7 linked regions of the Oryctolagus cuniculus genome follow. The protein of the gene in region 5 interacts with the protein of the main gene of each other region in a pairwise test. Links are inferred from orthologs where the notes say so. Each region holds a gene or a part of one and is shown on either strand. Other genes may lie near its edges.

Evidence for each region.
Region 1: the proteins of WWP2 (region 5) and FBXL18 interact in a two-hybrid assay, tested with the Homo sapiens proteins (3 studies listed by BioGRID and IntAct). The link is inferred for Oryctolagus cuniculus from reciprocal best matches to the Homo sapiens genes WWP2 and FBXL18.
Region 2: the proteins of WWP2 (region 5) and ATN1 interact in a two-hybrid assay, tested with the Homo sapiens proteins (2 studies listed by BioGRID and IntAct). The link is inferred for Oryctolagus cuniculus from reciprocal best matches to the Homo sapiens genes WWP2 and ATN1.
Region 3: the proteins of WWP2 (region 5) and ENTREP1 interact in binary tests that used the Homo sapiens proteins (3 or more experiments, as listed by UniProt). The link is inferred for Oryctolagus cuniculus from reciprocal best matches to the Homo sapiens genes WWP2 and ENTREP1.
Region 4: the proteins of WWP2 (region 5) and HNRNPUL1 interact in binary tests that used the Homo sapiens proteins (3 or more experiments, as listed by UniProt). The link is inferred for Oryctolagus cuniculus from reciprocal best matches to the Homo sapiens genes WWP2 and HNRNPUL1.
Region 6: the proteins of WWP2 (region 5) and ANKRD44 interact in binary tests that used the Homo sapiens proteins (3 or more experiments, as listed by UniProt). The two-hybrid records come from large-scale screens. The link is inferred for Oryctolagus cuniculus from reciprocal best matches to the Homo sapiens genes WWP2 and ANKRD44.
Region 7: the proteins of WWP2 (region 5) and ARRDC3 interact in binary tests that used the Homo sapiens proteins (3 or more experiments, as listed by UniProt). The link is inferred for Oryctolagus cuniculus from reciprocal best matches to the Homo sapiens genes WWP2 and ARRDC3.

What each region holds. Positions count from the first base shown.
Region 1 is NC_091450.1:39,433,334-39,437,293, reverse strand, and holds the start of FBXL18 (F-box/LRR-repeat protein 18), read left to right. Parts: upstream 1-1,160; 5' UTR 1,161-1,300; coding exon 1,301-1,318; intron 1,319-3,960. UniProt on the Homo sapiens protein: Substrate-recognition component of the SCF (SKP1-CUL1-F-box protein)-type E3 ubiquitin ligase complex.
Region 2 is NC_091440.1:102,606,731-102,610,230, reverse strand, and holds part of ATN1 (atrophin-1), read left to right. Parts: coding exon 1-40; intron 41-167; coding exon 168-281; intron 282-983; coding exon 984-2,974; intron 2,975-3,148; coding exon 3,149-3,371; intron 3,372-3,500. UniProt on the Homo sapiens protein: Transcriptional corepressor. Recruits NR2E1 to repress transcription. Promotes vascular smooth cell (VSMC) migration and orientation. Corepressor of MTG8 transcriptional repression.
Region 3 is NC_091432.1:161,049,366-161,052,865, forward strand, and holds part of ENTREP1 (endosomal transmembrane epsin interactor 1), read right to left. Parts: intron 478-3,500; coding exon 348-477; intron 243-347; coding exon 164-242; intron 1-163. UniProt on the Homo sapiens protein: Functions as an activator of the E3 ubiquitin protein ligase ITCH in the ubiquitination of the CXCL12-activated CXCR4 receptor. Thereby, triggers CXCR4 endocytosis and desensitization, negatively regulating the CXCL12/CXCR4 signaling pathway.
Region 4 is NC_091449.1:13,345,315-13,349,246, reverse strand, and holds the start of HNRNPUL1 (heterogeneous nuclear ribonucleoprotein U-like protein 1), read left to right. Parts: upstream 1-1,132; 5' UTR 1,133-1,458; coding exon 1,459-1,753; exon of another isoform or gene 1,754-1,986; intron 1,987-2,011; exon of another isoform or gene 2,012-2,224; intron 2,225-3,932.
Region 5 is NC_091449.1:53,024,632-53,028,131, forward strand, and holds part of WWP2 (NEDD4-like E3 ubiquitin-protein ligase WWP2), read left to right. Parts: intron 1-1,731; coding exon 1,732-1,813; intron 1,814-2,341; coding exon 2,342-2,470; intron 2,471-2,846; coding exon 2,847-2,922; intron 2,923-3,156; coding exon 3,157-3,228; intron 3,229-3,371; coding exon 3,372-3,460; intron 3,461-3,500. UniProt on the Homo sapiens protein: E3 ubiquitin-protein ligase which accepts ubiquitin from an E2 ubiquitin-conjugating enzyme in the form of a thioester and then directly transfers the ubiquitin to targeted substrates.
Region 6 is NC_091434.1:43,296,597-43,300,096, reverse strand, and holds part of ANKRD44 (serine/threonine-protein phosphatase 6 regulatory ankyrin repeat subunit B), read right to left. Parts: coding exon 3,476-3,500; intron 1,016-3,475; coding exon 924-1,015; intron 131-923; coding exon 95-130; coding exon of another isoform or gene 69-94; exon of another isoform or gene 25-68; intron 1-24. UniProt on the Homo sapiens protein: Putative regulatory subunit of protein phosphatase 6 (PP6) that may be involved in the recognition of phosphoprotein substrates.
Region 7 is NC_091445.1:14,128,087-14,132,354, reverse strand, and holds the start of ARRDC3 (arrestin domain-containing protein 3), read left to right. Parts: upstream 1-1,468; 5' UTR 1,469-1,795; coding exon 1,796-2,075; intron 2,076-3,887; exon of another isoform or gene 3,888-3,968; coding exon of another isoform or gene 3,969-4,056; intron 4,057-4,268. UniProt on the Homo sapiens protein: Adapter protein that plays a role in regulating cell-surface expression of adrenergic receptors and probably also other G protein-coupled receptors.

The sequences.
Region 1 (3,960 bases), on a different chromosome or scaffold from region 5:
GTGTGCCCTAGGAACATGTACGGTCTTCTTTTTAAAATTGTTTTATTAAACTTTTCTAAAAGAGTTATTTATTGGAAAGTCAGTGACAGAGAAGAGGGAGAGAGGTCTTCCGTCTGCTGGTTCGCTCTCCAGATGGCTGCAATGGCCAGGGACTGACCCAGGCCAAGCCCACAGGAGCCCACATGCGTGGCAGGGGCCGTGCACTTGGGCCACCTTCCACTGGTTCCCAGGTGCATTAGCAGAGAGCTGGATCGGAAGTGGAGCAGCCGGGACTTGAGCCAGGGCCAGTGCCAGAGCCAGAGGTGTCGGTTAAACCCACTGTGCCAACAGCCCCACCATCTTTAAAAAAAAAAAAATTAAAAACCGAATTATTTGAAAGGCAGAGTGGCACAGCCAGAGAGAGGGAGAGACATCTCCCATCGACAAGTTCACGCCGCAGGTGCCCCCAGCAGCCAGGGCCGGGTCAGACGGAAGCCAGGAGCCGCGAGCTCCATCTGTGTCTCCCACGTGCGTGCAGGGGCTCAGGGCCAAGCTTCCCCAGGCGCGCGGGCAGGGAGCTGGATCCCAAGGCCAGCTGCGGGGACTCGGAGGGGCACTCGGATGTGGGGTGCGGGGGCCCCGGCCCAGGCTTCGCGCTACTTTGCACCGAAACCAAACGCACTTCTTTCTGACTCCAGGAATGATTTAAACAAGAAAAAAAAATTTTTTTTTTTTTTTAATTCATACACTACCCCGTTACAGGCAAATGCTAGCAGCAAGGGCGTCCAGCAAATACTCCCTCAGGGCTGAGCCACGCAGGGAGGTGGCAGATTCTGCCTCTGTGGTCAAGCACGGGGGGGGGGGGGTATAAACGAAACGCTAACAGCAGCTTGGCAGGTGCAGCGCCCCAGGAAGACGCGCGCGGGCCGGGGGCCCAGGGAGGCTGTGGCTGACGCTGCTAACAGCAGGCAGTGGGCAGGGGCAGCGGTCCGGGACCGCAGGAGGAGGCCAGGATGGCTGCAGAGAGGCGCGCAAAGCGCAGGGGAGCTGGGGACCGAGCCCTGCGAGCAGGCGGAAGCCAATGGCGGCTTTCTCGGTTGCTCCGCGCCCGGGCAGCGCCACACCCAACATGGCCGCCGAGCGAGGGCCCGCCCGGGCGCGGACGGAAGTGCGTTCCGCGGGCGCCGGAAGTGGCCGAGGCCCCGCCCCCGGCCGCGGTCTCTGGTGAGCCGCGGACGCCCCGGCTTGGAGCATCCCTGGCGGGGCCGGCTTCGGTTCCCGGGGCCGCGGCTCCAGCGGACACGGCCGACCGGCCCGCAACATGGCGAGCTCCGGAGAGGTACGGGCCCGCGCCTGGCGGCTCTGCTCGCTGCCCGCCCCGAGCCCCGGCCACCCTGTGTCTCCTTTGCCTTCTGGGCCCCTGCCCGGCTGGTCCTGCCCGTCCCGAGCTCTGCTCGGCCGGGGCCTGACCTCGCCTCCCTGGCCTCTGCCCCGTCCCGCGCGCTGCCCCTGGCGGCACAGGCCGGCCCCCGGCCCTCTTCGGCCGCCCCCAGGCCCCGGCCCCGCGCTCCTGCGCCGTGGGTCCGGGACGCGGCCGCTCCGTGCCCACTGCCCACCCGCGTAGTGCATCTCCGGGTGCTGCGTTGGCCTCCGCCGCCCTCCTCCTCTCTGAATTGGCGCGAGTGGAGGAAAAGCCATTTCACCTGGAGGCTCGGGACTCGCGCTGGGGCCCCTTCCAGGCCGCTCCGCGAATCGGGGGTCTCCTGGAGACCCTGGTGGCTTCCTGCCCACCTGTGTGCGCCCCTGCTTCTGTCTGTCACTCGGGGACTCAGACCGTCCCGCGTGGGTCTCAGGGGCTTGCCCGAGTTCTAGGGAGCGGGAAGGAGTCGGAGAGTGGAGGGGAAGACGGCTGGGGGCTGCTGCCGGCGCCTCTTTATCTGGACTGAATTTGGCTCGGAAATGGCCCCTCGCTTGTCAGGAGCAGTACGCGGGCCAGCTGCAGAGGGATGACAGAATTGCCGGGGCAGAGCCCGCTGGGGAGGGGCTCTGGGGCAGCCCGGCCGGGTCGGTGGATCGGGCTTGGTGGCGGTGGGGTGCGGCGGGGGGCGTGGGGGGCCTGTCAGCTGGGTGTTGCCGCGTCCTGGCCCTGCGGGTTGCCCCGGGGGCTTCTCCTGGGTGGAGGAAAGATGGGAGCCTGGTGTGGCTCGGCGCCCCCGGCCTCTGGGAAGCTTTGCCCATTCATTGCGATATAGTTCTTTCATTGTGTGATTGACACTTGAGAAACTTCTGTCTGTGTATCCGAAGGACACTCACACACGCACACACACCTCCGTCTGTGGCTCAGCCTCCGAGTGTCTGTTAGCCAGGAGCCTCAAACAGTCTGGGGTCCCGGTGGGTGAGGGAGACTCGGGTACTCGGGCTGCGCGTGGTCTGGGGCCTCCCAGGGTGCATATTGGCAGGGAGCTGGAGTCAAAGGCAGAGCCGGGACTCCAACCCGGGCTCCCCAAGCAGGTTCTCCTTTCTGCTGTTTTGTTTTGTTTTGTTTTTCATTTGACAGGTAGAGTTATAGACAGAGAGAGAGACAGAGAGAAAGGTCTTCCTTCCATTGGTTCACCCCCAAATGGCTGCTACGGCTGGCGCACTGCGCTGATCCGAAGCCAGGAGTCAGGTGCCTCTTCCTGGTCTCCCATGCGGGTGCAGGGCCCAAGCACTTGGGCCATCCTCCACTGCACTCCCTGGCCACAGCAGAGAGCTGGCCTGGAAGAGGAGCAACCGGAACTAGAACCCGGTGCCCATATGGGATGCCGGCGCTGCAGGTGGAGGATTAACCAAGTGAGCCACGGTGCCGGCTCCCTCTGCCCTTTATTTGAGGGAGAACAGAATCCCATCCCTGGTTCACTTTGCAAATGCCTGTGATGAATCCGGGAGCCAGGAACCCCATCCGGGTCTCCCCACTTGGGCTTGCAGCTGGGCAGTGAACCAGGGAATGTGGACATCTTTCCTAGTGTCTTTTTTTTTTTTTTTCAAGATTTATTTATTTGAAAGGCAAAGTGATAGGGAGACACATGTCTTCCATCTGTGGGTTCATTCCCAAATGCCTGCAACAGGGGCCAGCATTGTGGCGCCAGTTCTTACCCAGCTCCCTGCTACTGCACCCGAGAAAACAGTGGATGATGGGCCAACTGCTTGGGTCTCTGCTGCCCATCTGGGAGACCCGGATGGAGCTCCTGGTTTCAGCCTGGCCCGACCCAGGCTGTTGTGGACATGTAGGGAGTGAACCAGCAGATGGAAGATCTATGTCTGTCTTTGTTTCTCTTGTCTTTTCCTCTGCCACCTTGTCTTTCAAACAAACAAACAAATAAAAAAGTCTTTTAAAAAATGTCTGCAGCGGCCGGCGCCGTGGCTCACTAGGCTAATCCTCCACCTTGCAGCGCCGGCACACCGAGTTCTAGTCCTGGTCGGGGCGCCAGATTCTGTCCTGGTTGCCCCCTTCCAGGCCAGCTCTCTGCTGTGGCCAGGGAGTGCAGTGGAGGATGGCCCAAGTGCTTGGGCCCTGCACCCCATGGGAGACCAGGAAAAGCACCTGGCTCCTGCCATCAGATCAGCGCGGTGCGCCGGCCGCAGCACGCTGGCCACAGCGGCCATTGGAGGGTGAACCAACGGCAAAGGAAGACCTTTCTCTCTGTCTCTCTCTCTCTTTCATTGTCCACTCTGCCTGTCAAAAACAAACAAAACAAAACAAACAACAAAAAATGTCTGCAGCAACCCAGCCAAAACCAGGAGCCAGGTACTGTCCAGGTCTCCCATGTCGGTGGTGACAGGGCCATCATCCGCTGCTTTCCCAGGTGTGTTAGCAGGAAGCTGGATTGGAAGTGGAGCAACCAGGACTTGAACCAGTGCCCACATGAGACACTGGTGTTGCAGATGGGGGTTTAGCCACTGTGCCACATCGTGGGCCCCACAGTTCAGGTTTTTTTCTTT
Region 2 (3,500 bases), on a different chromosome or scaffold from region 5:
CAGTGACGGCAAAGCCGAGAAGTCCAGGCAGACAGCCAAGGTATCTGTGCTCAGGTCCTCCCGCAGCATGCTGGGGGCGGGTGTTGTGGGGGACTTCCTGTCTGGCAGAGCAGGCCCAGTGGAGGCTTGGGAGGCGGAAGACAGAGTTTTCTCTTTCCCTCTCACAGAAGGCCCGAGTAGAGGAAGCCTCCACCCCAAAGGTCAACAAGCAGGGCCGGAGTGAAGAGATCTCAGAGAGTGAAAGTGAGGAGACCAATGCACCAAAAAAGACCAAAACTGAGGTGGGGGACCCTTCTGACCTCTGGCCTGCTTTCTGACCATTCTTCTTCTTCTTCTTTTTTTTTTTTTTTTTTTAAGATTTATTTATTTGAAAGACAGGATTACAGAGAGACGAGAGAGCTTCCACAGGTGCTGGTGTTGCAGGTGGCAGCTTAACCCGTTCCACTGGCCCCTGTTTTGTGACCATTCTTTTCCTCAAGTTTCTTTAGCTCACCATTCCTACCTTAAAGCCTCCTGGGAAATAAGAACAGCCATCTCTTCGTGCCTACCAGCGTGGTCCTGTGAGCTGTCAGGCAGATGTAGGGCTTTGACTGCTAGAGGAGCAGGCAGGGCCTCTGGGGGACTGTAGCCTCTGAGTGAGAGGAACACGTAAGCCAAGGGAAACACAGAAGTGGTCCTGTAAGAAGCACCAAGGGTCTGGGGATGATGACAGGAGAGGAGGGTGGGTGTGAGATGGTGTAGGACAGGGATTCCGAGTCAGTCGTGGGTGGGGAGGGTGCGTGGGGTAGACACTGGAAGAGGGAGTCGGGTTGTACAAGGAGGGAAACAGGTGGCCTGTTAGGGGCGCCTGAGGATGCCAGGAGAGTGAGGATTCTCCTTTGACCAGGAACACTCTTCACAAGTCGGTGCGTCATGTGCTGTGAGAGGCCCCGCTGTTGGGAGACAGGAACTGAAAAAAGAGGCAAAAATGGCTTTCCCTACAGCAGGAGCTCCCGCGGCCACAGTCTCCCTCGGATCTGGACAGCCTGGACGGGCGGAGCCTCAATGACGACGGCAGCAGTGACCCTCGGGATATCGACCAGGACAACCGAAGCACGTCCCCCAGCATCTACAGCCCTGGCAGTGTGGAGAATGACTCCGACTCGTCTTCTGGCCTGTCCCAGGGGCCAGCACGCCCCTACCACCCGCCTCCACTCTTTCCTCCTTCCCCTGCACCACCAGACAGCACCCCCCGGCAGCCAGAGCCTGGCTTTGAACCCCATCCTGTGACACCCACTGGATACCATGCTCCCATGGAGCCCCCCACATCTCGAATGTTCCAGGCTCCTCCTGGGGCTCCTCCCCCTCACCCACAGCTCTACTCTGGGGGTGCTGCTGGAGGGGTTTTGTCCGGACCTCCAATGGGTCCCAAAGGGGGAGGGACTGCCTCTTCAGTTGGAGCCCCTGGTGGGGGAAAGCAGCACCCTCCACCCACTACCCCCATTTCAATATCAAGCTCTGGGGCCAGTGGTGCTCCCCCAACAAAGCCACCTACCACTCCCTTGGGTAGTGGGAATCTGCCCGCTGCTCCACCACCCGCCACTTTCCCCCACGTGACACCAAACCTGCCTCCCCCACCTGCCCTGCGGCCTCTCAACAATGCATCAGCTTCTCCTCCTGGCCTGGGGGCCCAGCCGCTACCTGGGCATCTGCCCTCCCCCCACGCCATGGGCCAGAATATGGGTGGACTTCCTCCTGGCCCAGAGAAGGGCCCGGCCCTGGCGCCCTCGCCCCACCCTCTGCCCCCTGCATCCTCCTCCTCCGCCCCAGCCCCCCCAATGAGGTACTCTTACTCATCCTCTTCCAGCAGCTCTGTGGCAGTCTCCTCCAGTTCCAACTCTGCCCCCCAGTACCCAGCCTCCCAGGCACTGCCCAGTTATCCCCACTCCTTCCCCCCTCCCACAAGCCTCTCTGTTTCCAATCAGCCACCCAAGTACACTCAGCCTTCTCTCCCATCCCAGGCCGTGTGGAGCCAGGGACCTCCTCCCCCTCCCCCATATGGCCGCCTTTTAGCCAACAGCAATGCCCATCCTGGCCCCTTCGCGCCTTCCTCTGGGGGCCAGTCCACTGCCCACCCACCAGCCCCAGCCCATCACCACCACCACCAGCAGCAGCAGCAGCAGCAGCAGCAGCAGCAGCAGCAGCAACAACATCACCACGGCAGCTCCGGGCCGCCTCCCCCGGGCGCATACCCCCATCCTCTGGAGAGCAGCAGCTCCCACCACGCCCACCCTTACACCATGTCTCCCTCTCTGGGTTCTCTGAGGCCCTATCCCCCAGGGCCGGCACACCTGCCCCCACCCCACAACCAGGTGTCCTACAGCCAAGCAGGCCCCAACGGCCCCCCAGCCTCTTCCTCTTCCAACTCCTCTTCCTCTTCTCAAGGTTCCTACCCCTGTTCACATCCATCCCCTTCACAGGGGCCCCAGGGCGCGCCCTACCCCTTCCCACCGGGGCCCCCGGTCACCACCTCTGCTACCCTCTCCACGGTGATCGCCACCGTGGCCTCCTCGCCAGCAGGCTACAAAACGGCCTCCCCGCCTGGGCCGCCACCGTACGGAAAGAGAGCCCCGTCCCCAGGGGCCTACAAGACGGCCACCCCGCCCGGATACAAGCCGGGGTCGCCGCCCTCCTTCCGAACAGGGACCCCTCCGGGCTACCGAGGCGCCTCACCGCCTGCCGGCCCGGGGACCTTCAAGCCAGGCTCACCTACGGTGGGGCCCGGGCCCCTGCCACCTGCGGGGCCCTCAAACCTGTCATCTCTGCCGCCGCCACCTGCGGCCCCTAACTCAGGGCCCACCCTGAACGCCGCGCAAATCAAACAGGAGCCGGCGGAGGAGTATGAGTCCCCCGAGAGCCCGGCGCCCCCGGCCCGCAGCCCCTCGCCCCCTCCCAAGGTGGTAGACATGCCCAGCCATGCCAGTCAGTCTGCCAGGTGAGCGGGCGTCCGGGGCGGGGTGCAGGTGGGGTTGGGATGGGGGACAGAGCAGGGAGACGTGGTAGGGGCCTGGCGGTCTCGCGGTGCTCTGTAAAAGGACACCGTAAACGGCCCTTGAGGGCAGCAGCTCGCTCGCGCGGGCTCAGCTGCGCTACCTCCCGCGCCTGGCAGGTTCAACAAACACCTGGACCGCGGCTTCAACTCGTGCGCGCGCAGCGACTTATACTTCGTGCCGCTGGAGGGCTCCAAGCTGGCCAAGAAGCGGGCCGACCTGGTGGAGAAGGTGCGGCGCGAGGCCGAGCAGCGCGCGCGCGAAGAAAAGGAGCGAGAGCGGGAGCGTGAGCGTGAGAAAGAGCGCGAGCGCGAGAAGGAGCGCGAGCTCGAGCGCAGCGTGGTGAGTGCGTCACGAGGTGCGCCGCCCGCCCCCTATCCCTCCCTCCTGGTCACTGCGCAGCGGGTCTGGGAGGCTGGGGGAGTTACCGCCACCTGTCGGAGAGGAGGAGCCACTACAGTCCAGGAAGTG
Region 3 (3,500 bases), on a different chromosome or scaffold from region 5:
GGGTGGGATGCCAACATCGCAGGGGGCAACTTAACCTGCTATGCCACAACGCCAGCCTTACTCCAAGAATTTCCGACCTCTAAGAAAATAGCAAACTGGTTATTATTTTGCTGTGCTTTAATCTACTGGATCATGACGTGGGACAGTGATGACGCGGGATTACCTTGAGTCACTTGGGCACAGACCACTTCCAGCGGGCTTGTAGCAGTCTCTGTCCCTTCTGGAATCCGGAATGCGGGTCCCTGAACAGCGGGACAGAAGAAGGTTACTGTGCTGCCGTCAGCTTACCCGCAGCAGAGCCCCGTGAGGCCCCCGGGGTGCTGCGTGAGGGCTGCGCAGCGCCGTACCTGCTCCCGGTCCATCTGGCTCACCACCGCTTCGTATGGGGGCGGCGGGTCCAGGGGACAGAACACCTCCACGCCTTTGATTCGTGCTCCATAGATGTGCGGCACGGGGATGATGTCAGAGGCGGCCATCCTAGGAACAGCATGGCGCCGCCGTGAGGAAGCCCACTGTGCGGGCGGCCATCGGCCCCTTAGGACGAGGGGCGCTCCCCGGTCCCCACCTCAGCCACCTGGTCCGCCCCACCCCTCCCTCCGCCTCCACAAACGCCAATCCACGGGACAGAAAAGGGACCAGGGGCTCCCTGGGGCTTGGGGAGGGCAGGAAGGGGCGTGACTGCCACTGGGTAGGGGTCTCCTTGGAAGTGAGGAAACGAATGAGATGGAGGTGTTGGAGGCATGGTGCTGCCACTGAATTCCACACTGCAAAGGGGTTAATTTCCTATTACGTGAATTGCTCAACACCGAGGACAGCTTCTTACAGTAGTACCTGAGCAGTTTCTCGTCCCTTACACGGCAGACTCACCGTTTGCCAAAGAAATACCTGAAAGGTGAGTTAACATAAAGCAAGAAGTGAACCACGTCCCAGCTCGGAGCCGGGGCGGGGACAGCAGGCGCAGCCACGGAGCTCCCCCAGGAGCTGCCCGCCAGGCCCGCCCCGTGGACAGGGGGCGCTCTCACCCACAGGGCTGCGGGCAGGGGCAAGCCAGGGGCTGCGGTGGGAAGCACAGGTCTGTACTCTGCTGGCTCCTGAACCCAGCCCAGGTGGCCAATAGGCTGGCACTCATTTGTAACAGGAACCCCACCACCACCAACAGAGGGAGAAGCACACCCAAGAGTGGAATGAACAAGGGGAAGAGGTCTCACAGCTGAAACAAACTATGTGGGTGCAGAGAAGCTGAACCTCAGGGAGAAGCCCACTCCATACCCTGCTACCTTAACCAGAACCGCAGCCGCTGTTCTCTAGGGTCAGTGAGTTTCTCCCCACAGCCTCCTCCTCCCCTCTTCTCTCTCATCCCCTCTCCTTCTCCCATTCTGGGCCTGGGAATACATGAGGATTCTTTATCGCTCACTGTTTACATTTGCTATATTTACCAATTCTTCATCATCTACAAATTACTGACGTTTAGACTTCCAAACTGCCTCCACCACGACCCCTGACTGCTTCTTAGATAATTTTCTGGGGGAAAGGGTTGTTTTTTGAGGGAGTTTTTTGTTTGTTTGTTGTCCTATGTGTGACAGACCCTCAAGCAAATTTTTTTTTAAATCTGGAAGATTTCCTGCCAATGTTCATGGATAATTCCACAAAATAAGAAACTAGATAATGAAAAACATGAAATTTAAAATAATTACTGCAAAAAAATACACACAAAAATCCAGAAAACCTTCATTCTGGCTATGGAGCATTAGAGAATGAAAAAAAAAATAAGATAATAGCAAAAGTATAACATCTGTTCTTGAGATACAAAAAAGGGAAAAACTCAAAGAGCCTGATAAAAAGCCGGATTCTGGGGGTCAGATGCATGCAGGTGACTGAATTTATGATCACTTCATTTCCTTCTTTGTGCTCATTTGAAGTCTGATGGGTGGAGGCAAAAAGTTGAAAAAGTTGTGATGGTCTTTCTTCCTAACAACAAAGTTCTGGAATTCTGGGATTTAAAAAAAATGAGACTTGTGCAGTCTGAAGGAAAACGCAGGAAAGCTCTGCCCCCTTTTCCTGTACGTTCCTCTGGTCATGAACCACACACATTCCCTGCCTGACCCGAAAGGGAAGGGAGAAGGTTCTGGGTCAACAACATACACCTAGCAAGTGCAGCCTCCCATCCAAGGAGAAGTGGCAGTCATGGGGCGGGGCTCCTGGCAAGAACAGCCTGAAAGACATCTGTTCCTCTACCTTGGTCCATCTTCTGTTGCTTTAGCAGAATGCCTGGGACCAAGGGATCTACGAAGAAGTGAAGGTGATTTGGGCTCACAGTTCTGGAGGCTGGCAGTTCAAGGGCATCATGGTGGCATCTGGCAAGAGTGACAATGGCTGCAGAGTGAGGGGCCACATGTGGAGGACACAGCACCAGGGGCAGTGTCACACTGTAACAATGCGCTCTCCAGGGGACCTGATCGAGGCCTGCCAGATGAACCCAGCCCCAAAAGAAAGGCAGGGGCCCCTCCCAATGACCCACACACCCCAGAGGCCCCACCTCCACACAGCACCACCAGAGCACACAGGCTGCAACATGAGTTTAGAAGGGACAAACCCCATCAAACCACAGCAACTCTGAGAGCAGGACTTGCCCATGGGTTTCCTCCAACCAAGGCCATGAGCGATTCCAAGAAGCCACTCTTCTGGCCCTAACTGGAGACTGCTCACCAATGACTGACAAAGTTTGTTTCAACCAAAGCGACCTAGGGGCTCCTTCTGTCCCCTCCAAAGGGCCCGGCTGCAGCCTTTAATTAGCATAACCCCCATGAACCAGCCTTCCAAAACTTAACAAGCCTCAGCAAACAACACAGGCATTGCTTCCCCGCTGTGGGCCTTAGCTAGAGAGTGAAACCCCCAGCGCTGCCTGCCTGACTGTGGGATAACCCTGCCAGCTTACACCCGAGCTGGGGTGACCTGGGCCTTGCTGAAGGCCACAGGCTTGGAAGAACAGGTCCCATGTCAGATCCTAAACCATCGCAGAATCTCTTCCAGGGGAAACGGGGTGCTTTTTCCAACCTGGCTGCAGAAGGAATGACGTCACAGTGGCCATCCCCAGGACCAGAAGAGCCTCACTGTGAGCAAGGCTGCTTCAGCATCAACCAAGGAGAGTCTTTCCCATTAAGCAACTTCTCATTTTACTGGTGAGTTGCTGGCTTTTGCTCTGATCCCCTGTCACTCCCAACCCTAGCCATGGAGTCCAACCCCTCTGGGAGGTTCTAATCCCAAGATTGGCCTGGGCCTCCCCTCTAGGAACCATCTCTCACTGCCTGTGGTGGGGCCCAGGTCTCAGTGTGGTCAGTGTTCTACAAAAGGCAATGGGCCACGGGGCCGGTGCCATGGCTCACTAGGTTAATCCTCCACCTGTGGCACTGGCACCCCATATGAGCACCAGGTTCTAGTCCCAGTTGCTCCTCTTTCAGTCCAGCTCTCTGCTGTGGCCTGGGAGTGCAGTGGAGGATGGC
Region 4 (3,932 bases), about 40 Mb from region 5:
TGTCCGGGTGGCTGCAGTGGCACTGTCCGCTGGGTCGGTGCGGTGTGGGGCCGCCCGGCCGCGCGGAGCTTCGCGGGCACACCTGCGCTGCCGGTGTGCTGCACCTGATCCGACCCGAGCCTGGGGGTGTATCTGCGCGGCGCGCGCCTTTGTCTGCTCCGCTGGAGTGTGGCGGGTGTGGGCCTTGCGTGCCTCGGCTGTGTGTCTGACTCCGGGTTTGTCCGTTTGAGTTAGAGGCGACAGGTGGCGCGGCGTTAGACGCCGGGGAACTCGGGCGTCCGTGTTTATTAGCGGGAGGCCCGATCCGCGTCTCTGAGCCCGTCGGCCAGGTGCCCCGGACAGCCATGCAGAGGGTCGGGGAGGGGACAGCCGCTCAGTGCGGGGCTCTACCCGGAGAGGGGCGGCTCCACGGCCTCCGCGAGGCTGCGGTCGCGGACAGAGGCCCCGCGAGGCGAGCTGGCCAGGGGATGGACACGCGGTTTCCTTGACAACTTTTCTCTCGTCGCTGGCCTAGCCTCTAGTATCAAACCTGCAGGACTCGCCAAAGTTCCGTTTTTCATTAAAAAAGTAATAATAAAACAGCCGAGTTCCAGATTATGAATAATATATCTGTTTAATATCTACTCCATATGCCTCCCTCTACGGCGAAATTTGTGAGGCAAGCCTCTGAAAAACGGCCAATCCTGTTAGCTTTTCCTCAAGCGACCCATCTCTACCGGCCCTCAGTGAGATGAGACAATAAATGCAATTGGTGGACAGATTGTTTTGAAACCGCCCTAACGGCAAGGGGCGGGTCCTTCGTGAATTTTTCTCTTTCCGGTTTCTTAAAGGCAACAGGAAGGAGGGGTTTCTACCGACCCTCGTTTTGATTGGTTCTAGTGACTTTACCCGCTCGTACTCCTCAAGGGGCGGGAGATGTAGACAAATCAGAATGTGTGTTGCAAAGACACTTAGCTCGATGAAAGGACTTCGCAGGAAAGGCGGGGGGGGGGGGGCGCTCATTTTGAGAGCCCAAGGTTGATTGGACTAAATCGTTACTCCCCTTTTCTCATTCGACCTTACAGCAGCGGGCGCGCGGGCGCCATCCAATCAGCTGGCGCTCCGCCTTCTGCCTTTTCCCGCCCTCCGCTTGGGCCGCGTCTTCGACGTAGGCCAACGCTTCCTCCCTGGCTGCTCGTAGGCCCTCTCACTGTCGTTATTTTGAAAACTGTGCTCTAACTGGCTGAGTCTCCGGGCCCGCGCCCGTTGCCCCCGCGCGCTGGCCAATTGACACCCGTGTTGCATCGTACGGCGCACTGGGAGGGGGAGGTGGCGGCGGCGGCGGCCATTTTGAGCCGCCGCCGCCATTGGAGTAGCCCCCCCCCCTTTCCCCCTTCGCCTCCTGACAGGAGAGGTTTAAGGGGGACAGAGCCCTGGGAGGCCGGGCCGGGCTCGGGGGCCGCCCCGGGGGCCCGGGCCATGGATGTACGCCGTCTGAAGGTGAACGAACTTCGCGAGGAGCTGCAGCGCCGCGGCCTGGACACTCGCGGCCTTAAGGCCGAGCTTGCTGACCGGCTGCAGGCTGCGCTGGAGGCCGAGGAGCCCGACGACGAGCGGGAGCTCGAGGCCGACGACGAACCGGGGCGACCTGGGCACAACAACGAGGAGGTCGAGACCGAGGGGGGCTCCGAGCTGGAGGGGACCGCGCAGCCACCGCCGCCCGGGCTGCAGCCGCACCCGGAGCCCGGCGGCTACTCGGGGCCGGACGGACATTGTGAGAGTGCGCGGGGCGGGGGCCGGGGAGCCTGGAGTCTGGGCCAAGATAGGGCTGTGGGACGCGGGAGTCCGGCGCCCGAGGTCGGGGACTTGCTGTGAGGATCGGGGGGTCCTGCGATCGGCCGCCGCGAAGGATCTGGGGACCGGGGCCTCGGGACGGCCGGCGGGTGGATTCTGGCATTCGGCGCGGGGGAGAAGCTGGGGGTGGGCGCTGTCGGTGTCGGAAAAGAGGTGGGTCCAGGGAATGGGGAGGGTTCTGGACCTTAGGGCTCGGAGACCGGAAACCGTGGTTTTTGGAACCGAACGGAGTCGGAAGAAAAAGAGGTTTTCTATTTAGGGGCTTGGGGAGAGGCTTGGAAATGGTGATCCTGGGGTTTGCAGCAGGGTGGGCTGGGCGTTAGGAGCCGCGTTTCCAGCTTCGGGACGGAGAGGCCGGGGTCCTGGCCGGAGCGGCTGATAGGGTCCTGAGGTGGGTTGATGAGATGGAGGCACTGGTGTCTGTGCGGTGGACTGGGTGCTCTGGTGTTGGCCGGAGAGCCGTGAGGGGATGTGGGAGACCAGCTTGTTCCACGGGGGGACCCACCTCTCTTCCAGGCTGGGAGGCCAGCCGAGAGGCAGGCGCACCTTGGGCACTGGGTGCTGGGCGATCCGGGGACCTTGTGGTTGACTGCCAGAGGCGGCACCAGGAGCCTTGGTGTCCTGAAGCTCGTGGGGGCAGGAAAGATGCTTCCCTGGACAAAGGACCCGGGAGCCTGGGACTGGGCAAGCTCTCCGGGCCGGAACTCAGTGGCTGTGCTGAATGGTCCTGGTGAACGGGGCAGCCGGGATAGGACGGGCGCAGAGAGCAAGCTGGTAGTGCTTGAATTTGGTGAAGTAACCGAGGGACAGGGGATCCTTGTGTCCAGCACGGGAGTGTGTAGCTGTCTGGGAAGATGGGGGAGGGGGAGTGAGTGAGTAATGGAAGGAGAAGGCAAGCCTGTTGACTTGGTCCCCGGGGGCCTCGGGGTGTTGTTGGGGGGAGAGGTGGGGCTCAGCATCTCCCGGTGAGGGTTCCTTGGTCCCCAGAAGCAGTTACTTGCGTGCCCAGGGAGTATCTGCATCAGCCAATAGGAGTGAGTGTGGGAGTGGAGGGATTAGGGTAGGCCTGCAGCTGTTTGAGGAGCAGAGACCTGGCATGGCAGAGAGTGAGTCTGGAGTTAGCAGAGGGCGACTTTTTTTCAGCACTGGGACTGCAAAGATGGGAGGAAGAGAGGTTAAGGGGGAAGGACTGTGGTGTCCAGGGCTTCTGGGGGGTCTGTGGAAAGGGCACCCTGGGGCTGGGGGGAGAAGGTGAGAGGAGAAATGGGGCCATGGAGGAGACTTGGGGTTGGCACTGGGTCCTCGTTCACGAGAGATGTGGCAGCCTGCGTGTAAATTTGGAGTGGAGAACAGCCCAGTGACTGTCCAGGACCCAGGTGCTGGCAGCGTGCGTGGCGTGGCAGAGACCTGGGAAGGAAGAAGTGGCCCGGCGAGCTTGTCTGTAGAGTGGGAGCCCCCAGTGGGGCAGAGTTCCGGGAGAGCAGGGTGGTTGGATGCCTCGGCACGCAGCCTCTAGACTGTTTCAGGTTCGGCTCCGTGACTCGGGCAGGGTGCTTCATCTCCGTGCGTCTGGTTTCCTTGTGTGTAAAATGGGGTTACAGGGTTGTTAAGAATGAAGTCACGCGTGAAGGGCCTCTCCCCAGGTCCGCCTGCTGATGAGGAAAGCGGCGTTTAGGGGATGGAGAGGCACCCCAGCATCTTGGCTCCCTGGGCAGGCTGCTCCGGGCCCAGAGGGATGCTTAGAGAGGCTTGAGGCTCTGGGGCACACACTGCCTAGCGCCTGGAGGAAGCAGCTGGGCTGAGAGGACCTCACATCCCAGGGAAGATGACGTTCCCTCTCTTCCTCTCGCCCTGCCCTCTGCACCAGAGTCCTTTGAGTGCCCTCCACACCCCTGCGACCCTCCCTCAGCCTTGGTAAACAGACCTGTAAGGCACCACGTGACCTGAGACTTTTCTCCCTTTGGGCCGCACCAGGTTTGTGCCCAGATGTGTTTGTCCTCTGAGAAAGCATCCAGTCAGTCAACAAGTGGCAGGATAGGCTCTGCTTCCCCGTGGTTCTGCCTCACTGCTGCTGGCACAGCCGTGAGGAGGACTCGGGA
Region 5 (3,500 bases):
AGATTAGTAGTAAGTCAGATGTAAAAGGGTAAACACTTGGGATCGCTACCTAAACCAGCCATGGGGAAAGCGTGCCGGGTTAAACAAGAATCCGTTATGCCATTTGGTAGTCGGTGACCTAAAACTGGGGGACTGGAGTTTGTTTCTGATTCTGTAGAAGCAGGTAGTGTAGCCCGGTCAAGTGAGTTTATTTCGGTGCCAGTTCTGAACGATGGTCACCAAGTGAGAGCCACTAAAGAGTCTGGAAAACAACTCCCAGATGCTCAGAGGGAAAATATTTGAGATGAGAATAGGGAAGCCATAAGCCGAATCACTGCTGTTTGCCAGCGATCGGAAAAGACCCATAAGACTGTACTGGTGCACAGCCGGGAAACAGAACTCTTTGCCCAAAGGCCGGGGGCTTTCCTCTGTGTTGCTTCCCCAGGGCTGTGGGGGAGGCCGCCTCCCCAGGGATGGGAAAGGACGAGCAGGAAGGGCAGCGGGGCCAAAGGAGCCGGCACTGGTGGCGAGCATGCTGTCGGTCTGCCGGCGTTCCTCCGGCACTCAGCTCCTGGGACCCATGGTTGTCCCAGGCACTGCCGTGGGAGCTGGGATGCCTCAGGTTTAGATCCGTCTGCTGCTGCTCGCTCGTGGCTAAATCCGCCCCGGCCCGCCTGCTCCTGAAAGTGAGGTTGAGCTCGGCACTCTCTGGAGACTGCCCCAGCTCCCGCAGGCAGCTCTGTGGGCCAGGAGAGGTGTCATGGCAGCATTTGTGCAGTGCCAGGAAAACGGCCCAGGGCTTGGACAGCCGGGCCAGACCCCCGCTAGGCTCCACTCAGTCCTCAGCAGAGCGGCCCTAGGGCGTACAGTTCGGAGCAGGGGCTCCCGGGCGGGCAGGACCCTCTCGGGCAGCTTCCCCTGCAGGTCAGTTGCACGCCGCCTCGGCAGCTCTGCCGCAGCTCCCTGCACCTCCTGTGCTTCCTTGCCTGTTTTTATTTTTATGTTACTTGTTTTTCCAGCTTTATTAGAGTGTGATTGATAAATAGTGCTTGTGCTTGGGACATTCTAGTTGAGTAGGAGAGAGCAGATAAGGCAAAGAGGGATCAGCCCTTGGCTTGGCGCTGGGACCATTGCAGCCCGATTCTTGAGTGGGGGCTGCTGGTCCCCCGCGTGTGCCCCTTAGCTTCTGGGGAGGGAGGATTGTCCGACTTCTTCCCTCGCGTTTCACTGTGAAAGGGGCAGAACCATCCACATCCCTTGTTTTCAGGATGGAAACAGATTTGAAACCCAGGACTTTCCTGGAAAGGTGACCACCTTTGGGTCTGGGGCCTTGGCCCCTCGTTTTCTCTCCCACTTGCCTGGAGTGGATGGATTACCCGCCTGCGCCAGCCTCGGGGTGGGGCAGGGCCTGGGGCTGAGGGCGTCCCTGCTGCCACAGCTGGATGCAATTATGCCTGGATTCAGCCGGCTGCCCCCTCTGTGTCGCCACACCGCCCCCCTTCCTCTGACAAAGCAAACAACCAGAGAGGTGCGGGATTCTTCCCCTTGCAGTGTGTGTGTCCGTGCCCCTGCCCCAACCCCAACCAGGGAAGGACCATTCTGTGCTGTCTCCCAGTGGCCGGGTCCGCTTCTCCAGCAGGCTGGTGTCGGACAGGAAAGCAGACGCAGCACCCAGGAGCCGGGGCTGCGGGATGGCCCCAGCTCAAGCTGCTGGATTTTAATTGTTCCCTCTCTTTTCTTCTCCCATGGCAGAGAAGAGACAGGACAATGGCCGGGTGTATTACGTGAACCATAATACACGCACGACCCAGTGGGAAGACCCTCGGACCCAGGGGTAAGGGTTTTGGGAGTGAAGGGGGCTGGGCTGGGCCTGTGTGCAGCTCCAGCATTGGCCAAGTGGCCTTGGACCACTTTGTCCTGCAGGGCTCCTGCTGGGGACCTTTAGCCACACACATCTCCCCATCTAGTGTCAGCCTCTGAGAGCTTGGAAGTGGTCCCTGAAGTAGACCTTTCCGCTGGCGGTTGTCGCTGGTCTGTATGCCGCTGGTACTGGCTGCTGAGAACTTGATCACAAAGAGGTTGTGGGTACGTCCATCCAGCACTGCCAACGTGCAGGGCCTGGGCACTCAGCCACCGCCGTCCACCCGGGGCTGGATTTTTGGCCTTGGGATAGAAGATGGCTTCTTTACACCCATGACTTGGATCATGCCAAGTGCATATCCTAAATCCCCCTTGTACCCCCAAGGGCTGTGTAGCACTGGGTGAAAGCAGAGACAAAGCAGCACTTGGGAGACCCCGGCCTCCTGTGCACTGGGGCCCGGAATGCGGGGCCTGGCCTTCACCCCGTCCCTCCTGTTTGCAGGATGATCCAGGAGCCGGCACTGCCGCCGGGCTGGGAGATGAAGTATACCAGCGAGGGCGTGCGGTACTTCGTGGACCACAACACCCGCACCACCACCTTTAAGGATCCTCGGCCAGGGTTTGAGTCGGGGTAAGGATGTCAGGACGCCCAGCAGTGTCCCGTCAACGCGGGCTCCGGGAGGCCCACTGCTGGACGGAGTGGGGACCCCTAGACGTGCTCTGCTGCTTACTGCCCCCTAGCGGCCAGTGCTGATGGCAAGCTGAAGGCCGCGGGCAGCAAGGGCTCTCCCCGCCTTTGGCTGCCTGGTGTTTGTCAGAGCAGGACTCTGTCGTCGTTTCTGGATTCTGTTTTTTGGCTTTTCAGAGGCCTCACTGGCAGTCCCTTCTCTCCTATTCCTTACTCCTCGCCTTTAAGTTAACACGGCATCAGCTTTGCTGGGCTAATGGAGACAGGTCGCTCAGTTCCCGAGAGCTCACCTGGCTTCCGGAACACCTTTCCTTTCCAGGACGAAGCAAGGCTCCCCTGGTGCCTACGACCGAAGCTTCCGGTGGAAGTATCACCAGTTCCGCTTCCTCTGCCACGTGAGTTGTGCTCCCGGGACTCCCGCGGCAGGTGGGGGCATCGAGTCACTTCAGCCTCCTTCCCCAGCCCAGCGTGGGCACAGGACTGCGCGTGTGCCACCACAGCTGGTTGTCCCCACGGGGCCAGGCTCTCACGTGACAGCCTCGGGGCCGGGCCGCCTACCCTGGCAGGTGCGCACCAGGTAGGCCGGTCACCCGGAGGCCTCAGTGTGCGGCGTTCTCTTCTCTTCCCAGTCCAATGCCCTGCCCAGCCACGTGAAGATCAGCGTCTCCAGGCAGACCCTTTTTGAGGATTCTTTCCAGCAGGTTAGAGAATCAGCCCGGTGCCCAGGTTATGACCATGAGCCTGGGGGCCGTGTCTGTGGAGGGGGCGGGCCTGAGATCCCTCCTACCCCTTCCTGCCGTGGAAGGGTGAGTGGCAGGCGGGCCACGATGCTCTGTCTCCCCAGATCATGAACATGAAGCCCTACGACCTGCGCCGCCGGCTCTACATCATCATGCGTGGCGAGGAGGGCCTGGACTACGGAGGCATCGCCAGGTGAGCTCAGGCGTCGCCGCCGCCCCGGCTGCCAGCCCGC
Region 6 (3,500 bases), on a different chromosome or scaffold from region 5:
ATGTTGGGGATGGAGCAGGGTACATGCTGGGTAAATGGGGCTGCAGAAACAAAACTACTAAGAGTTAGCTACTGATGGCAATATGGCTGCTTACTTCTGAGAAATAGGCATGAGCTGCTAATTCCAATACCTGTAATAAGCAGTTAATTGAGTTATATTAATACATTATAATGCTTTAATTAAATGCCACAATTAATGCCACATTTTTAAAAATCACTTAATTCATAAATATCCAGAAGTTCCTCTTTTGCTCCCCAAGGTTAATTAATAGGTGTTATGCTTAAATGGTAGCTTAGTACAATTCTAGGATTCATTAGTTTTCAAAATTTCTTAGGAAGCAGAGTAGAAAGCTTCTGTTAAGAATCAGCTCGTTTAGAAAAGAAGCATTATATAGATCAGGAGAAGCTTTCAAGCCTGGACACTAATTAAAATTTTTATTCATGTTCCCTAAATTTCCATACTGGGAATATGAGTTCTGATCTGGACTTTAAAAAAATGGTTTGATCTCAGAATGAATTGAAATACAATCAAAAACCTAGGTTTTTATCTGAGCCCTTGAGCATGCACTAATGACATGTGTAATCCCTAACTCTTCAGTGTATGCAGTTAGAATTCTGAATGCCAAGTTGGAAGTTTTTTTTATTTTAGTGAGTCTAAATGATTTTAACCACCACGCTGAGGAGTTAGAGACCAACTGCTGACACATGCAGAATGGATAGCACTGGTGGGCTATAGGTGGACCATGTGTTTTACAAAATGACAGACAGGACAAATTAACCTTGCTGGACTTCTCACACACATGGGACTTTCAAGAGGGAGAGAATTATTACTGCCTGTTCATAAGCTCCAACCTCTCTCATTTTCCTCTGGCTTCCATCGGCATATGGAAGACACAGGCAGTAATGTTTATTTTTTCCACTTACCATTTTCATCTACAGCAAGCACACAGGCTCCTTTGGCCAGCAACTCCTCGACTACCACCTTCAAGCCATTGCGTGCAGCAATGTGGAGGGGTCTAAAAAACACAGCATCAAGCATCACCTGGGACACATATTTGTGTGATATTGGGGCATTCTAGTTAGCCTATCCCACTAAAAGGAAGACTTAACAAGATATTTATACATACACTGCATCTCAATCCCAATGTCAGTAACAAGGAAGATAGAGAAAGAACACAGAACACACTGTATCGGGTTCTTGCTTGATTTCTGCCATAGCCTTGAATCATTGTGGCACACAGGACAGGCATAGACATTATCCATATATGTGCAGGTACTTAAAAAGTTCATGCAACAATAGAATTAAAAGACAAGCTTTTTTTTAACGTTTGAAAATTATTTGAGAAGTAGAGGAGAGAGGAAGAGACAGAGACTGACTCCCATCCATTTGTTCACTCTCCACATGCTCACAGCAGCCAGAGCTGGGGACAAATTCAAGAGCCAGGAACACAGTCTTGGTCTCCCACATGGGTGGCAGGAACCCAAATGCTTGAGCCATCACTGCTGTCTGCCAGCCTCCATGCTACCAGGAGTTAAGAGATTCAGCCAGGAATGGAACCCAGGCACTTTCATAATCATTAAACATTTGCTCTAATAAGCTTATTTTGGTACAAAAAAAAGTTAGAATATATGCACAGTTTTAAAATAACACACATATTCCATGAACTTTTTGAAGTACCCTTGTATATAATCTCAAATCTTATTATTACTAAAAGTACACAGATGTTTTACTGAATTCATAATACCTTAAAAAATAATGTTAACCTCTGCATACAGCACTATGTACTACCTAAGAATCTTAAATGGAAAAATAAATTCCTAATTGTCCTTTGTCTTTAAAACAAATGCATAAATAACTTTCTAGAATGGAAAATAAATCAGGTTTGAGATCTTTCACACCAAGGGTTACACTGAATCATATTAAAATATAATTGAGACAGGCCGGCGCCGCGGCTCACTAGACTAATCCTCCGCCTTGCGGCGCCGGCACACTGGGTTCTAGTCCCGGTCGGGGCGCCGGATTCTGTCCCGGTTGCCCCTCTTCCAGGCCAGCTCTCTGCTGTGGCCAGGGAGTGCAGTGGAGGATGGCCCAAGTGCTTGGGCCCTGCACCCCATGGGAGACCAGGAGAAGCACCTGGCTCCTGGCTTTGGATCAGCGTGATGCGCTGGCCGCAGCGCGCCAGCCGCGGTGGCCACTGGAGGGTGAACCAACGGCAAAGGAAGACCTTTCTCTCTGTCTCTCTCTCACTATCCACTCTGCCTGTCAAAAAGAAAAAAATATATATATGTATATATATATATATATATATAATTGAGACAAATAGCTTAGAAACTCTTCAAATGTATTCTGGGAACCTGATTTATAAAACTGTCATTTTCCAGTTAGAATACATAATGCTAATATATAATACTAATGTGTCCATAAGCCTATATGATTTTTCTAACAGTCTGCTAAAATTATATTACTATAGAAGTATCAGCAAAGAAAAACACAGACCTTAAAAAATGCTATGGCAGCGTATCAAAAAGAGGACTCTAAGCAAAACTGCCTAGCCAGGTAAACAACTGTGGGTGGGCAACGGTCAGCATCATGGAGAAAAATCCAGGTCTGCCTTTCTCACTGCTGTGCTCCCCTATGCTAGCCTGACACACAGCAGGCTCCTAATACTTCTCGAAACAATAACTATGACTCTGGGTTCAAGTAAGACTTTAAAAGTTACTTACGGCTGGTGCCACAGCTCAATAGGCTAAACCTCTGCCTTGCAGCACCGGCACACCGGGTTCTAGTCCCAGTCGGGGTGCCAGATTCTGTCCCGGTTGCCACTCTTCCAGGTCAGCTCTCTGCTGTGGCCCGGGAGTGCAGTGGAGGATGGCCCAAGTGCTTGGGCCCTGCACCCCATGGGAGACCAGGAGAACCACCTGGCTCCTGCCTTTGGATCAGCGCGGTGCGCCGGCCGCAGAGCACCAGTCATGGCGGCCATTGGAGGGTTAACCAACAGAAAAGGAAGACCTTTCTCTCTGTCTCTCTCTCTCACTGTCCACTCTGTCAAAAAAAATTTTTAAAAATAAGTAAATAAAGCCGGCGCCGCGGCTCACTAGGCTAATCCTCCACCTAGTGGCGCCGGCACACCGGGTTCTAGTCCCGGTTGGGGTGCCAGATTCTGTCCCGGTTGCCCCTCTTCCAGGCCAGCCCTCTGCTGTGGCCAGGGAGTGCAGTGGAGGATGACCCAGGTGCTTGGGCCCTGCACCCCATGGGAGACCAGGAAAAGCTCCTGCCATCCGATCAGCGCTGTGCGCCGGCCGCAGCGCGCCAGCCGCTGCGGCCATTGGAGGGTGAACCAACGGCAAAGGAAGACCTTTCTCTCTGTCTCTCTCTCTCACTGTTCACTCTGCCTGTCAAAAATAAATAAATAAATAAATAAATAAATAAAGTTAAGCTGGCTTTAAAAAAAAATAAGTAAATAAAAGTTACTTACGTGTGCAGTGCATTATTTTTTGCAT
Region 7 (4,268 bases), on a different chromosome or scaffold from region 5:
GGTGTCAACCAAGGGGGGAGGAAGGGGAGAATTTTCCAATACGGAAATACACAAATTCTTATTTTTAAACCTTAAAACTCATATAAACGGCATCACTCACCGTCCAAACCGTGTTCAGATTTACCCTTTCCAGATTATTGCTCCGGAGTCCTTAGACATTGCCTTGTCAACTAAAACCCAACCCAGTAAAATTTCACTTCCTCCAAAACAGCAAGGCCGAGTATCATTTATTGTGACTCCCGGGCTCCATCTACCCAAACATACTACGCAGAAGAATCTAAAACGTATGGACACAGCCGTAGCCAAAAACCTTCCCAAGAATTCCTGGTTACGTATATGTGGCTTCAGATTCCCATCTTTTTCTGTCTTTCTATAGCTCTCCTGACAGCAGCTCTGCGGAGGCCAGTAATCTACACGAGTTTGTGCTGTTACACTCTGCATCCCAGTGGGGCGTGACGCAGGCTCTGCTATTTCTTACCGAAACACTCACAATCAAAAAAGACAAATGTACCTATTAGGATGCACGGGAATGACTAGGCTGAACAGTCCAGCGGACAACCGCGGCTCCGCAGAATCCGCATCCTCACTGATGCTAAGAATTATGCTTTCCACACGCTGCATCTCGCTCCTTCAAACCATCGCTCGCGCTCCAGCAACTCCCCACCAAGGCTGTGCGCCGAGCCGCCACCGTGCCACCTGCCTTCTGCAAGGTGGCACTGTGGACGCGAGGGCTGCAGCCGCGCACCCTGCACCCTGACTCCGGCCACGGCTGGCGTCCCTAACAAGGACCTCGGCTTCCTCGGGGGAAGCGGGCCGCCTGCCCCCAACGTCGCCAGCGACTCGCTCGGGGTAGCCGGAGCCGGCACAGCCCCCCGAGGGGACGGGACCTACGCCTCTTCCTCGCTGCCTTAGGGCGTCCGCTCCGCAGGCCCCCTTTTGGCCTCCAGGGAGCTCACTTCCACCCCGTCTACAGCCATCTACGGACGCGCATAAAATCCACGCCGAGACTGCTCTCGTCTGTGACCACGATTCCTGGCCCGGTTTTCAGGACTTTTTTTTTTTTTCCTCCCGAAAGTCGTTAGCTCAGGCTCAGCCACCCAGCCGCTGGCCCGACCGGTTTCTCCCCCTTCCTCCTCCTCCCAGGCAGGCGGCGGGCGAATCCGCGCAGCGCCGCTAACGCGTGCGCCGGCCCGGCCGCCCCTCCACGCGGCCCGCGGTCCCTCAGCGCCCCGCCGGCGGTCGCTCTGTCAGAGGCCGCCCGGCCAGCGGCTCCGGGGAGCACGCCGGGGCTTTCCGGCAGCCCGCCCGCCAATGGGAGCCCACAATGCAGCGAAGTCCGGCCGGGCCTCCCGGCAGCGCCCGTGCCGGCTTCCCCGGCTCCACGCCTACTGTACCCGCGCGCGTGCCCGGCGAGGGCGCGAGCGCGGCGCGGCGCGGCGCGGCGGGGGCGCGCGCCCGGGGGGCCGGCGGCCGCGGCGGCGTGCGCGTGCGCACTGGGGTTGTTTTTCACAAAGCTGCTCTTAAAGTGAGCTGGCAGGCTCCGGCCGCCCGTCTTTGTAAGGAGACCACTGAGACGGGCGGGCGCGCGGAGCCGCCGCCGCAGCCTCTCTGCTGCCCTGACTTTTAAGAGCTCTCAATGAACTGTCTGTAAGGAGCTACTGATCCTGCCTGCAAGGGTTTGCATTTTTGCACGGCAGAAGCATCGATCAGTGTTGAGTGAAGATCCCATTTTATATGCGATCTTGACTTTTTTGGGGGTCTTACATTATATTTTTTATAGATTTTTGTTATCAACATGGTGCTGGGGAAGGTGAAGAATTTGACAATAAGCTTCGACTGTCTGAATGACAGCAATGTCCCCGTGTATTCCAGCGGGGATACTGTCTCAGGAAGGGTGAATTTAGAAGTTACTGGGGAAATCAGAGTAAAATCGCTTAAAATTCATGCAAGAGGACATGCGAAAGTACGCTGGACGGAGTCTAGAAACGCCGGCTCCAATACTGCCTACACGCAGAACTACACCGAAGAAGTAGAATACTTCAACCATAAAGACATCTTAATTGGGCACGAAAGAGGTAAGTTTTCCTACCATTCGGCAGTCTGCAGGCTGGCTTTCTCGGGTGGACGTGGTTCTCGCAGCGTAGCTCGGCCGTTTGCTGGAGGCTAGCAAAGTTGCGAGGTTTGGGTTCTCCTTGACGGGAGGCTGTAATGCGTGCCGGCATCTGCAAAGCGACTGCAAACTGCACCTCGTCTCCACCACCCCTGGACCCGGCTCGGGCTGTGCCATACGCACTTGCGGTCCATTTGCACCTCACTCGGAAATTCTGCTTGCCTCCGAGTCCATGATTTTACTGCTACGTTTTCAAATGAATTGATGAAAGCTGCGGTCCGGCATCAGATTTTTAAAATTTTTTCCTTTTTCTTTGCAACCTTAGCTCAAAACCTGAGCTTGAAGGAAGGAATGAAATAACATTTTAGGAGGGTTAGTAGATGTGTTTCCTTTTAATATTAACGTGCAAAGGACTTTATAAGGAATTGATCATTGTTCTTTGAGAGAGGGTTTCCCTGGCTTATTTTGACATATGGTATTACCAACACCCCACGTGTTTTTTTTTTTTTTTAACCTCTTCTTTCCAATGCTTTGGGAATTTTGCATCAAGCATTCCTTATTTTAAAAGACAGTATCTATCACCGTGGCCGGTGTTCAGTCAGGTTCAGAAGCCATTCAGGGCCAGCAGTTTCTTCTCCAAGCATCATGTCTAACTTTGGAACGTGCATTCAATGAAACCCTGCCAGTCCAATGGAATTGAAAAGTAGACCGCACACTGGACTTGATTTTTGGTTAGAAGGGGGAGATGGAGGGTTGTCAAAGGGAGAGGGGGTCCTGAGATTTCCCCTCTATTGTTTAGATGGCTACATTGTGGAAATATAGGAGACTCTAAGCTTGTTTTTCTAAGTTTCCACCCTTTGTTAGAAGCGGTTCAATCCTGTTTCGGACCAGTTCTGGGGGGTGGTGAGGAGGGGCGCTTGTGCAGCTCTCAGCAGATTGGTTACACGCGTCAGGTGGTGGCGATGACTTAATTCTAGCCCAAGAAGAATATAATGTTAAAACTGGTTATGTAATTTTGTGCTTCTCCTTTTTAATGCAGTATTTAGTGCAAATGCTGACTTTTTCAGAAAGAGGCTCGCTTTTATCTGCGTTTTTATATTCAAGATATACATCCCAGGGAAATGCTAATTGAATTAAGGGAAGGGAGAAATAAAGGAAGCGTTGAGTTACAGCATTATTGCATTTTTTTTTTAAATGCTCAGGTGAAATCAGTTCTTCGGCAGGGTTTCCACAGTTCACCTAGGTGGTTTTGCATCTTGAAGTAATTTCTAGTTCATCTTCCCAAGCGTTAACTCTGATAGGAAATGCAAAGCGCCTGATGACAGTTCTGCTGTGTGCTGCAAAGCGCACACGCGAGTTTGATTTCGAGCCTTTTATAAAATGAGAAGAAACAAAAGGTTTTTCTCTCAAGAGTTGAGCCTTGCAGTGAAGGGAAAGTAGAACAATGCGTTGGGGCGGAAAGCAAGGTCGTTAGCTGCACCTCGACTTCGTGGTGAGGAAAACCGAACGCCCCGCACCCAGCCGGGCGCCCCCCGAAGCCGGCCACGCGTGGACGAGCTTCTGCCTGGAGTAGTTTCAATGACTTTAGCTGAGAGCTCTCACACGAGCCTGGCAGCGGAGGCCCCGCCCCGGGCGGCCGGCGAGGGGCGGGGCCAGGTTTGTTAGCCTGTTGCTAAGGCGATGCCGGGCGCTGATTGGATTGGGCCGGCGCGGGTGGGGAGAGTGGGCTCCGGCCGGCTGGGGCGCGGCTTGGAACCGGCGTGCGCCGGTAAAGGTCCCTCCCGAGCGGCCGCCCCCGCCCGCGCTCGCGCGAGTGCGTTCCCGGGCTTCCGTGGGCTCCCGGGGCCCGCGTCGCGGCATGCCCTGCTGCTGTCCCTCTCTCCGGCCTGTTGGGGCCACGAGGGGGACGCCTCGTACGGGGCGCCAGCCGCTGCCGGCTTTCACAGGTGCAGAGTCGCCCTGGGCGCAACTTTTGGCCAGAGACCCTCGTAGAGGGGGCTGGCGTGAGGAGAGCGAGCGGGACCCCCGAGGTCGCGGGCGACGTGTCGGAGTGGCTCCCTTTCCTCTCGGCTGCCACAGACATGTGCCGACTGTCCAGTCAGCAGTCTGGCTACCTTGACGTGACCTGAGGGGGAGTCTGGCACTGGCTGGCCAGGGC